Rhinolophus ferrumequinum: one gene and its partner. The protein of the gene in region 1 binds, or shares a complex with, the protein of each later gene. Links are inferred from orthologs where the notes say so. Each region holds a gene or a part of one and is shown on either strand. Other genes may lie near its edges. The genes, in order: SLC9A1 and CHP2.

What was found.
Region 2: the proteins of SLC9A1 (region 1) and CHP2 are in contact, whole or in part, in a crystal structure (PDB 2BEC), measured with the Homo sapiens proteins. The link is inferred for Rhinolophus ferrumequinum from reciprocal best matches to the Homo sapiens genes SLC9A1 and CHP2. Residues at the interface, in NP_003038.2 of Homo sapiens: Ser517, Ile518, Asn519, Glu520, Ile522, His523, Thr524, Gln525, Phe526, Leu527, Asp528, His529, Leu530, Leu531, Thr532, Gly533, Ile534, Glu535, Asp536, Ile537, Cys538, Gly539, His540; in NP_071380.1 of Homo sapiens: Arg30, Arg34, Leu38, Leu51, Ile54, Ala56, Leu57, Asn60, Pro61, Leu62, Ile66, Phe70, Phe83, Leu87, Phe90, Tyr118, Ala119, Leu122, Tyr123, Met136, Val139, Leu140, Met143, Ile156, Arg159, Thr160, Glu163, Ala164, Phe177, Ser180.

What each region holds. Positions count from the first base shown.
Region 1 is NC_046292.1:18,599,611-18,603,512, forward strand, and holds the start of SLC9A1 (sodium/hydrogen exchanger 1), read right to left. Parts: upstream 2,997-3,902; 5' UTR 2,191-2,996; coding exon 1,842-2,190; intron 1-1,841. UniProt on the Homo sapiens protein: Electroneutral Na(+) /H(+) antiporter that extrudes Na(+) in exchange for external protons driven by the inward sodium ion chemical gradient, protecting cells from acidification that occurs from metabolism.
Region 2 is NW_022680357.1:17,601,264-17,605,165, reverse strand, and holds the start of CHP2 (calcineurin B homologous protein 2), read right to left. Parts: upstream 2,140-3,902; 5' UTR 1,901-2,139; coding exon 1,834-1,900; intron 1,457-1,833; coding exon 1,384-1,456; intron 1,242-1,383; coding exon 1,161-1,241; intron 1,047-1,160; coding exon 916-1,046; intron 741-915; coding exon 679-740; intron 1-678. UniProt on the Homo sapiens protein: Functions as an integral cofactor in cell pH regulation by controlling plasma membrane-type Na(+)/H(+) exchange activity.

The DNA of each region.
Region 1 (3,902 bases):
TGGGATGAGAAGCCAAGTTTCCTCACTTCTGGACTGATACCCTCACCATGGCACCATCTCTGTTCTCCAGCTGCCCAGGGTCCCTATTACAGGTTCTGGGAGGGACAAAGCCTAATCCCATTAGAACTGGAGACATCAGGCCTGCAGGGACAAACTCCTGATTGCCCAAAGTAGGATTTTTGTGGTCATGCTATTGCCCCCCCAGGAATCACTGAGACCTGCAGTGCGTGTACTGGCCCCCAGCGCTCTAACACAATGCCAGGTGTGGTTGGGAGGAGAGTGATTCAGAGACGATGCGTGTGAGGTCTCTTCCTGGTCTCACACAAGCAAATGACACATCATGGTCACTTCAGTTTCTTACCACAAATTAAGACACAGGTTTAATGACTCAATTGATATGGTCAAAGGTAGACATTCTTGCCAGTTTCACAGGTGGACGAGACCTGCAGAAAAAGGCCCCAGCTCGTTCAAGGTCATGTATTTGTCAGAATCGGTACAAATGGCTCCCCTTGCCCAGTCCTTGATGCCAGGAAGCTGGCTGCCATCAGGGTACAGATGCCAGTGGCCCAGGTCCATCTATAGGCCCTGCTACTGTCACAGCAGCCAAGCACCGCACCAGGAAGCCAGATTCTGGCTCTGTCAAAACAGGGTGCCTTCCTGCAGCATGTCCCAGAGCCTGCCTCCTACCAGCCTGGCATCACCAATCAGCTCCTTCAGGTCCTCGGGTAAGCTGCAAGGCTTTCTGCCAAGAGTCACAAACGCCCCAAACCCAGACCAGCAGAGTCCCTTGCCTTCTACAGATTAGCTGGGGCTAAAAAAGCAAAGGCAGCTTTCAAAGCACCCCCCCACCCCGGACACACTTCCAGGGACTTGTGAGTGATGCAGGTCCCCGAGAGATAAATCAATCACCCAGCAGAACAAAGTGCTCAGGCCGAGCAGGGAGACAACTTTTCAGAAGGGAACAACTTTTCTGTCTCCTTCTCCCAAAAAGATCGTTTCAAAGTCTCTTCAGACCAGAGCATCCCGAGCCCCTCCACCTGTCCCTCTTCCACTTGGTCGAGCAGCAGGCCAACACTACTGGCCAACCCAGGCAGTACCTTGAGACACAGCCGGGTGGCTGCTAACCTGGAGGTGAGCTGGGGCCAGACCAAGCTTCAACCTCCTCCACCCCCAAAACGGACTTCAGAAATTTCCAGGGCCCCCTGTCCCATAAACTGCATAAGGAATGGCATTCCTGGGCCGGAAACTGACTCAGGGGCTCCTGACCAGCCTGGGCAGGCAAAGCTGACAGATAATATTCCACGGATAAAGTAAGGTAAAAAGGTAGGGATCCCTTGTGTTCCAGCACACTGCTAGGTCTCCAGCACGCAGGTACCCTGCGATACTAAAACTCCTTAAACAGGCCAAGTAGAAATATACTCCATCCTGGAACACCCTCCCATGAAGCGTGTAATTGCACTGGTTGCTGTTGACGGAGCAGAATGTGCCACTTGCTGGAAGACACTCCTCTCTGCCTTCCACGCAGCTGGGAGCCTGGCTCCCCTCGGGGTCTGGCCCAACCAGAGGAGACCTGCCAAGCCTGGAAGCCTTGCTGAAAGGACCCAGTATCAGAAGCATCCCATGCTCCAATCCCCCTCTTTCCCATGCATGATGCTGGCTTCAACCTTGGGAGGCCTCAAACCACAGAGCTCAAGTCTGAGAAGGACCAAGATGGCAGAATGGAGGTTGCCTACATTATAGGAGTCCAGACCCTAACTCCTGGGCAGCCTCAAGTGGTAAGGATGGGGCAAGAAGCTCACCAGGCTGGTGGCAACAGAAGCAGTGAAGCAAACTGGACTTACCTATCTTCATGAGGCAGGCAAGCAGGATCCAGAGGGAGATCTCGAAGGGTCTGCGCACATGTGAGTAGTCGATGTCCAGGACTGGAAAGGCCTTTCGTTGTGTGCTGTGTTCAGTGCCCGAATGGTTAACAGGGTGGCTCTGGGGGGTGGTCTCCGGTGGGGCGGTGGTGACATCCCCAATTGAGCGTTCCCGTGGTGGCTCTGAGCCTCGGATGGTGCTGGCAGTAGGACTGAGCTGGAGGCCATGGCTCCTGAGAACAGGTAGCAGCCCCACCAAGGCTACCATCACCAGCAACGAAGGGAAGATTCGAGGTGGAGAGAGGCCACAGATGCCAGACCACAGAAGCATCCTGCCGCTCCCTTGGCCGAGGAGGCCTGGACTCTTAGCAAAGTGAGAGTCAGACCTGGGACATAGGCAGCAAGGGGTCAGCAGGTGGGAAGAGAGCCTGGAGTAGTCTCTAGGAAAAGTTCATGTTTTAGAGAGGTCGTTTTGCGGAAGCAGTCCTCTGGGGGTGGACAGAATCTGGGTTCTCAATCTAGAACTCCAAACTGGGGAAGAGGCAGAAGGACCCAGGAAGGACCACAGGAGACCTAAAGGTCTGGAACTCCCGGCCAGGGAAAGGAGAGAGAGGAAGGGACAGGACAAGTTGGACCCCAGGCAAGGAAAAGGAAGAGGGGAGGCTGGGACCCTCGGCTGAGCAAAGTGACTAAGGAGAGAGAGGGGAATAGACTACGGGCAGGGGCAGGAAGCCGGAGCTCAAGGAAGGGGACAGAAGGCGGTGGGACCCAGTCCAGGCAAAGAAGAGAGGGGTCTGGGAGCCCAAGCTGCGAGGAAGGAGTGCAGCCGGAAAGCGGTCGGGAGCTTCCCCACCCAGAGAAGCGTCGGGGTGCAGGCGCACCTGGCTGAGATTCCGGGGAAATGGAGGGAGGAGGAAGGCGGAGGCAGGCGGCCTAGCGGAGAACGCTTCGGCGAGGGCTGGGAGCGGCTCGCGGTGGGCCAGCGGCTGCACGCCCCTCCTTGCGGCCCCGGCCCAGCTTCAGGTTCTCCGCGTCTACTCCCAGTCCTACTCCCAACGCCGGGCTCAGCGCCGGCGGCGGTGGACTGATGCCTGGCTGAGCCGGTCGCTGCCATTTATAGGTACCAACGAGCAGCCAGCGCAGCGGGCTAGAAGGAACGTCGGCGCCCACGCAGCGCAGCGACCCCTTGCCGCCGAGGGAAGGAAGTAGCCTGTAGCAAGAGAAAGGACAGAGATGGGGGCGGAAAAAAAGTCCTGAATCCACAGAGATTCTAACACGGGTAAAACGCTTTACTATTTACAAAGCGCTATCACATCCACACCCGCAGTCTCATGAAGGCTTCCCAATAGTCTTGCGAAGGATGTATTAGTATTTTATGTATTTAGTTACCCTGTGACCTTGAGCAAGTTACTCCCTGTTCCACAGCTTTCTCATCTATAAAATGGAAATGGTAGCAGTACCTGTATCAGAGGGATACTGAAATGACTCAATGAGATAATCTGTGTTAAGTGTTTAGAACGGAGCCCAGCACATAGAACTATTATTATAGTTCCAGTTTTGCAGATGAGGAAATGAGTGGAGAGAGTTGCTTAGCTAATATGTAAACTAGTTTGCCAGGGCTGCTGTAGCAAAGTACCACAAACTGGGTGGCTTAAAAAAAACAGAAATTTATTGTCTCATATTCTGGAGGCTAGAGGTCTAAAATCAAGGTTTTCTGAGGGCTGTGAGGGAACATCTATCTGCTCCATGCTTCTCTCCTAGCTTCTGGTGGTTTGCGGACAATCTTTGGTGTTTCTTAACTGTTGGCAGCATAACTCCAATCTTCACATGGTGATCTCCCTGTGCCTCTGTCTCTGGGTCCAAAATTCCCCTGGATTAGGGGTCCACCGATTAGGGGTCCACCCTAATGACCTCATCTTAAATTGATCATCTTCAATAATACTATTTCCATAACACTATTTCCATTTCCAAAGAAGGCCACATTCATAGGTACTGGGGGTTAGAACTTTAATATTCTTATTTAATATATATATATATATATAA
Region 2 (3,902 bases), on another chromosome or scaffold:
TTTCATAATCCGTCCCTGAGCCACTGCGCACCATATTCTGATCACTTGCCACCGTATCCACCAATACCTCCCCCATTGCCACTCCATCCGACCCCCATCTGTCCCTCATGATCCCACACTCACCTCGGCAATATGCCCAGGCTCCTGACTGGACCCCAGCCTTGGAACCCAGCCCCCATCCTTCCTCCACCCCGTCTGCCACCTCCTCGTCCAACCCCTCCCCCACCCGCACCCCCACTTCAGCCCAATGAGCCCAGAGGGTCTCAGTCTCAGCCCCATTGACATTTGAGGCCACAGAAGGCCCTGCTGTGGGGGGCGGGGGGCGTTCTGTGCCCTGTGGGGTGTTTAGCCACATTCCTGACCTCCACCCACTAGGTGCCAGTTGCACGGCTACCTACCGTCCTGCCAGTTGTGACAACCAAACATGTCTCCAGACATTGCCCGTGTCATTCAGGGGGCAAAAATCGCCCCCAGCTGAGAACTACTATACAAATCTATTCCTAACCTCAAATGCAGCTGTTCCTGGCCCTGCCTCCCAACTAACCACACTCCAACTCCATGCACCCCCTTTGCTCACCCAACACCCCAACCATCTGCACCCCCATGCCAGTCATGCCCCCCTCCCCCACACGGCTGCATGCAGCCACCCCGCCCTGCAGGTGACACGGGTGTCCCAACCTGTAGCATCTCCTGCTGGGAGATCTTCCCATCTCGGTCCTGGTCGTAGAGCTGAAATGCAACTGGGGAGAGAGCAGCGTGGAATGAGGTGGGCCCTCCCTGGGTCTCTTCCCGCAGAAGGTCACCCTGTAGGAGGAGGGAGGCTCCGTGGGCTGACAGGGGGAGTGGGAGGTGCCCGGGGCCTCTCACTGGTGTGGGAAATCGGGGGTCTTGCTTGGGGGGACCCCACCAACTCACAGCGGAGTTTGTTCATTCTGCTGTTGAGGGGTTCCGGTTCCTTGGGGTCCCGGGTTCTGGTATCCTCTTCATTTATAGGTCGGAAATGAGCCAGGACTCGGACAAAGCCTGGGAAATCCACCTGCAGGCTCCTGGGGTGGGGGGGGGAACGTGGAATGGAGCAGAGGCAGTGCCACCTTGGCCCTCTCTGTGCCCCTGTCCCTGACAGCATTTCCCTCTGTCTCCCCGCCCCAGAGACGCCTCACCCATCCGGGAAGAAGCTGTCTATAATGCGGTCCCCCAGGGGGTTCACGGCCAGCGCCCCGATCTGCTGCAGGTCAGCACGGCTGCAAAGGAAGTTCAAAGTGGGTAGGACGCGGACGAAAGAGCGAGGGTCAACGCGGGGAATGCGCCCAGACAGACAGACGGGCCCAGACAGACAGACGGACGGACAGATACAGGACCGGGATAACAGGTCAGCTCCCGCACCTCAGGTAGCCCTTCTTGTTCCTGTCCAGAGACCGAAACCGGTGGTAGAGGCGGAGCAGACTGGCCTGCGAGACTGCGGGAGGGAAGGCAGACGGGTGACTGACGCCCGGGCCATCCGGGAGGTGGCGGGGGTCGCGGGCGCTCCACGGGGGACCTGGCTGCCAACTGGAGGTTAGAGGGGGCGTGACGAGACCCAGGGGCGCGATACCCCGGGAGACCAGGGGACCAAAGCCAACCCCCTCCATCCCGGCTCGAGGACACCTGGGTGCCCCCAACCCCGAGAACCCAGGCCCGCCTCAAACCTGGACGCCGGGGGCCCAGGGTACCGCGCCCCTGCCCCCCCACCCCGCGGTCTCCGCTCAGATCGTCTGGACTCCCGCAGCCCTCCACCCGCCTCTCCTCGGGACCCCACTGGAGCCCCCATCCCCAGGGCCCCCCACCCCCGCTCACAGCCGGTCTCCCGACGAATGTCATCCGCGTCCGGGATCCGCGCGACTGCTGAGCTGTGGGAGCCCATGGCAGCGCTGCAGCCTGACACGAGAGATCTGTGTTCCCGCCCAGGCTCGGCCGCCCTGTGGCCCCCGGGGCCGAAGGCCACAGGCCTGGCGGGGAGCCAGACGCCTGAACCCCAGCGTTCCTCGCCTCCCACCCGTGACCCGGGCGAATAGAAAGCAACGCCCAGGGTGGCGGGGCCAGAGGGCTGCACCAACAACGGGCTGTTTCACCCGGACTTGCCGAGGTTGGCGCGGAGAGAGGCTGAGCGAGGCCAGGTCCCGCCCCGCCGCGCCCGCCCCGCCCGCAGCGCCTTCCGCGGTCCGCGTTCCCACGCTCGGCTGCGGGCGCCCCCCCCCCCCCAACCCTCCAGCCTGGGGCTCTCCCAGTGGCCGCGAGGAAGGCTGGTGGTCCTGACCTTCTCGTCTGCACACAGAATTCAGGTCCTTCTAGAAAGGGGTGTCGGGTGGGGAGGGGAGCTGCCCGCATTCCTCCCAGTCGGGAATGGCCCCAGCCTGGACCACCTCCCCCGGCAGGAGGGAGGCGCTTTGATGGACGCCCAAAGCGGGGTGACCTGGGGAGTGTCGTGAGGCACAGAGTGGCCACTGTGTTCCATGGAGACATGGATGCCACCCAGCTATGCGACCTACTCCGGACAAGCCAGGGTATCTCGGTTTCATCTGTTTGGTTTGGTCCATATTGCGTTATTGTTGTTTAATGGACTCAATGCTCACAAATCAAGAGATGGAACCAAAAACCCGGATTCCCGGCTCCTCCAGAGAAATGAAAAGTCCGACACCACTAGGCCCGCGCGGCTGTAGGAGAGCAGCTGCCATAGTTAAGGGGGGGCGACAGTGGGCTGCCAGTGCCAGAGCCCCCACCCAGCCCAATTCACGCCGTAGGAGCCCCAGGGCCTCTGCCACGAGCCCTCCCGGCTGGAAATGACTTCGGCCTCGGAGGGCAGTGGAAAGCCACCGCCTGAGAGAGGGTCACGAACAGCACTGTGGCCAAGCTTAAAATAATAGTAATGACAACAAGAGGGCACTTTGCTGAGCGCGAGCTAAGCCTTAGCTCACACGCCCATCACAGCACCTGCGAGGGCACCTTCTTCCTGCTTCTCTGTGGGCGGGGCCTGCCAAGGCCGCCAGGTGTGAACCAGGTAAAGCCTGTATCCTCAGTGGGGACAGCAGCGCCCCCAAGGGGGCTAAAAATCTTACTCTTTTTATGTATAAAGTACAGATATACCTGTGGTACAGGAACAGATACATCAGTGGTCTTAAAATTTCATAGGAGAGGGGACCTTGGGGGGAGGGGGAAGGCCTGAAAATGCTCAGGTGGGGACCATAATGAAAAAACGTTTGAGAAACTCTGTTGTAAAGGAACAAGCACCCAAGTGTCCAGGTGTGACTCTATCATCCCCCCTCTTCCCATCATAATCACACACAATACACACATTTCCCAGGGGGAGAAAAATAAACGCCGTTCATTATTAGGGTTCAAGTTCATACCCGCCCTGGAGGGAGCGAGAAGCCAGAGAACCAGTGGAGGCCCCACGCCCAGGCAGAGGCTTGCATCAGATAAGCCTTGAAAATACTGATCTAAGAAGCGCTTGCTTCTCTTTCAGAGGCCCAAGGATTAAACAGCTGGCACAGGAATGCTCGCCTCCCTTTCAGAGCCGTTCGGACGCCGCCCCCGCGCCCCAAGGAGGACAGCCCGCCGAGCCGAACACAGCCGCGCACCATGGCAGGCTGTGCGTGCAGGCAGGGTTAGCTTCTGAACCTACGAGGAGAGACGGGTCCCTGGGACGTGGCAATAATCACCTCAGGCCCGCGCGGGATACTGATCTTGGAACGAGCTTCTCCCCCAGCTGTGATCTCTGAGTCAGCGGTACTTTCCACAAACCAGGCCAGAGTGTAATTAGCTACTGCCATCCACACGCCATCACAAGCCTGCAGGAGAACGCTGAGCTGGACCCCACTCCTGCTTCACGCACACAGGCGGAGTTTAAATCAACTCCACGGTGTCCA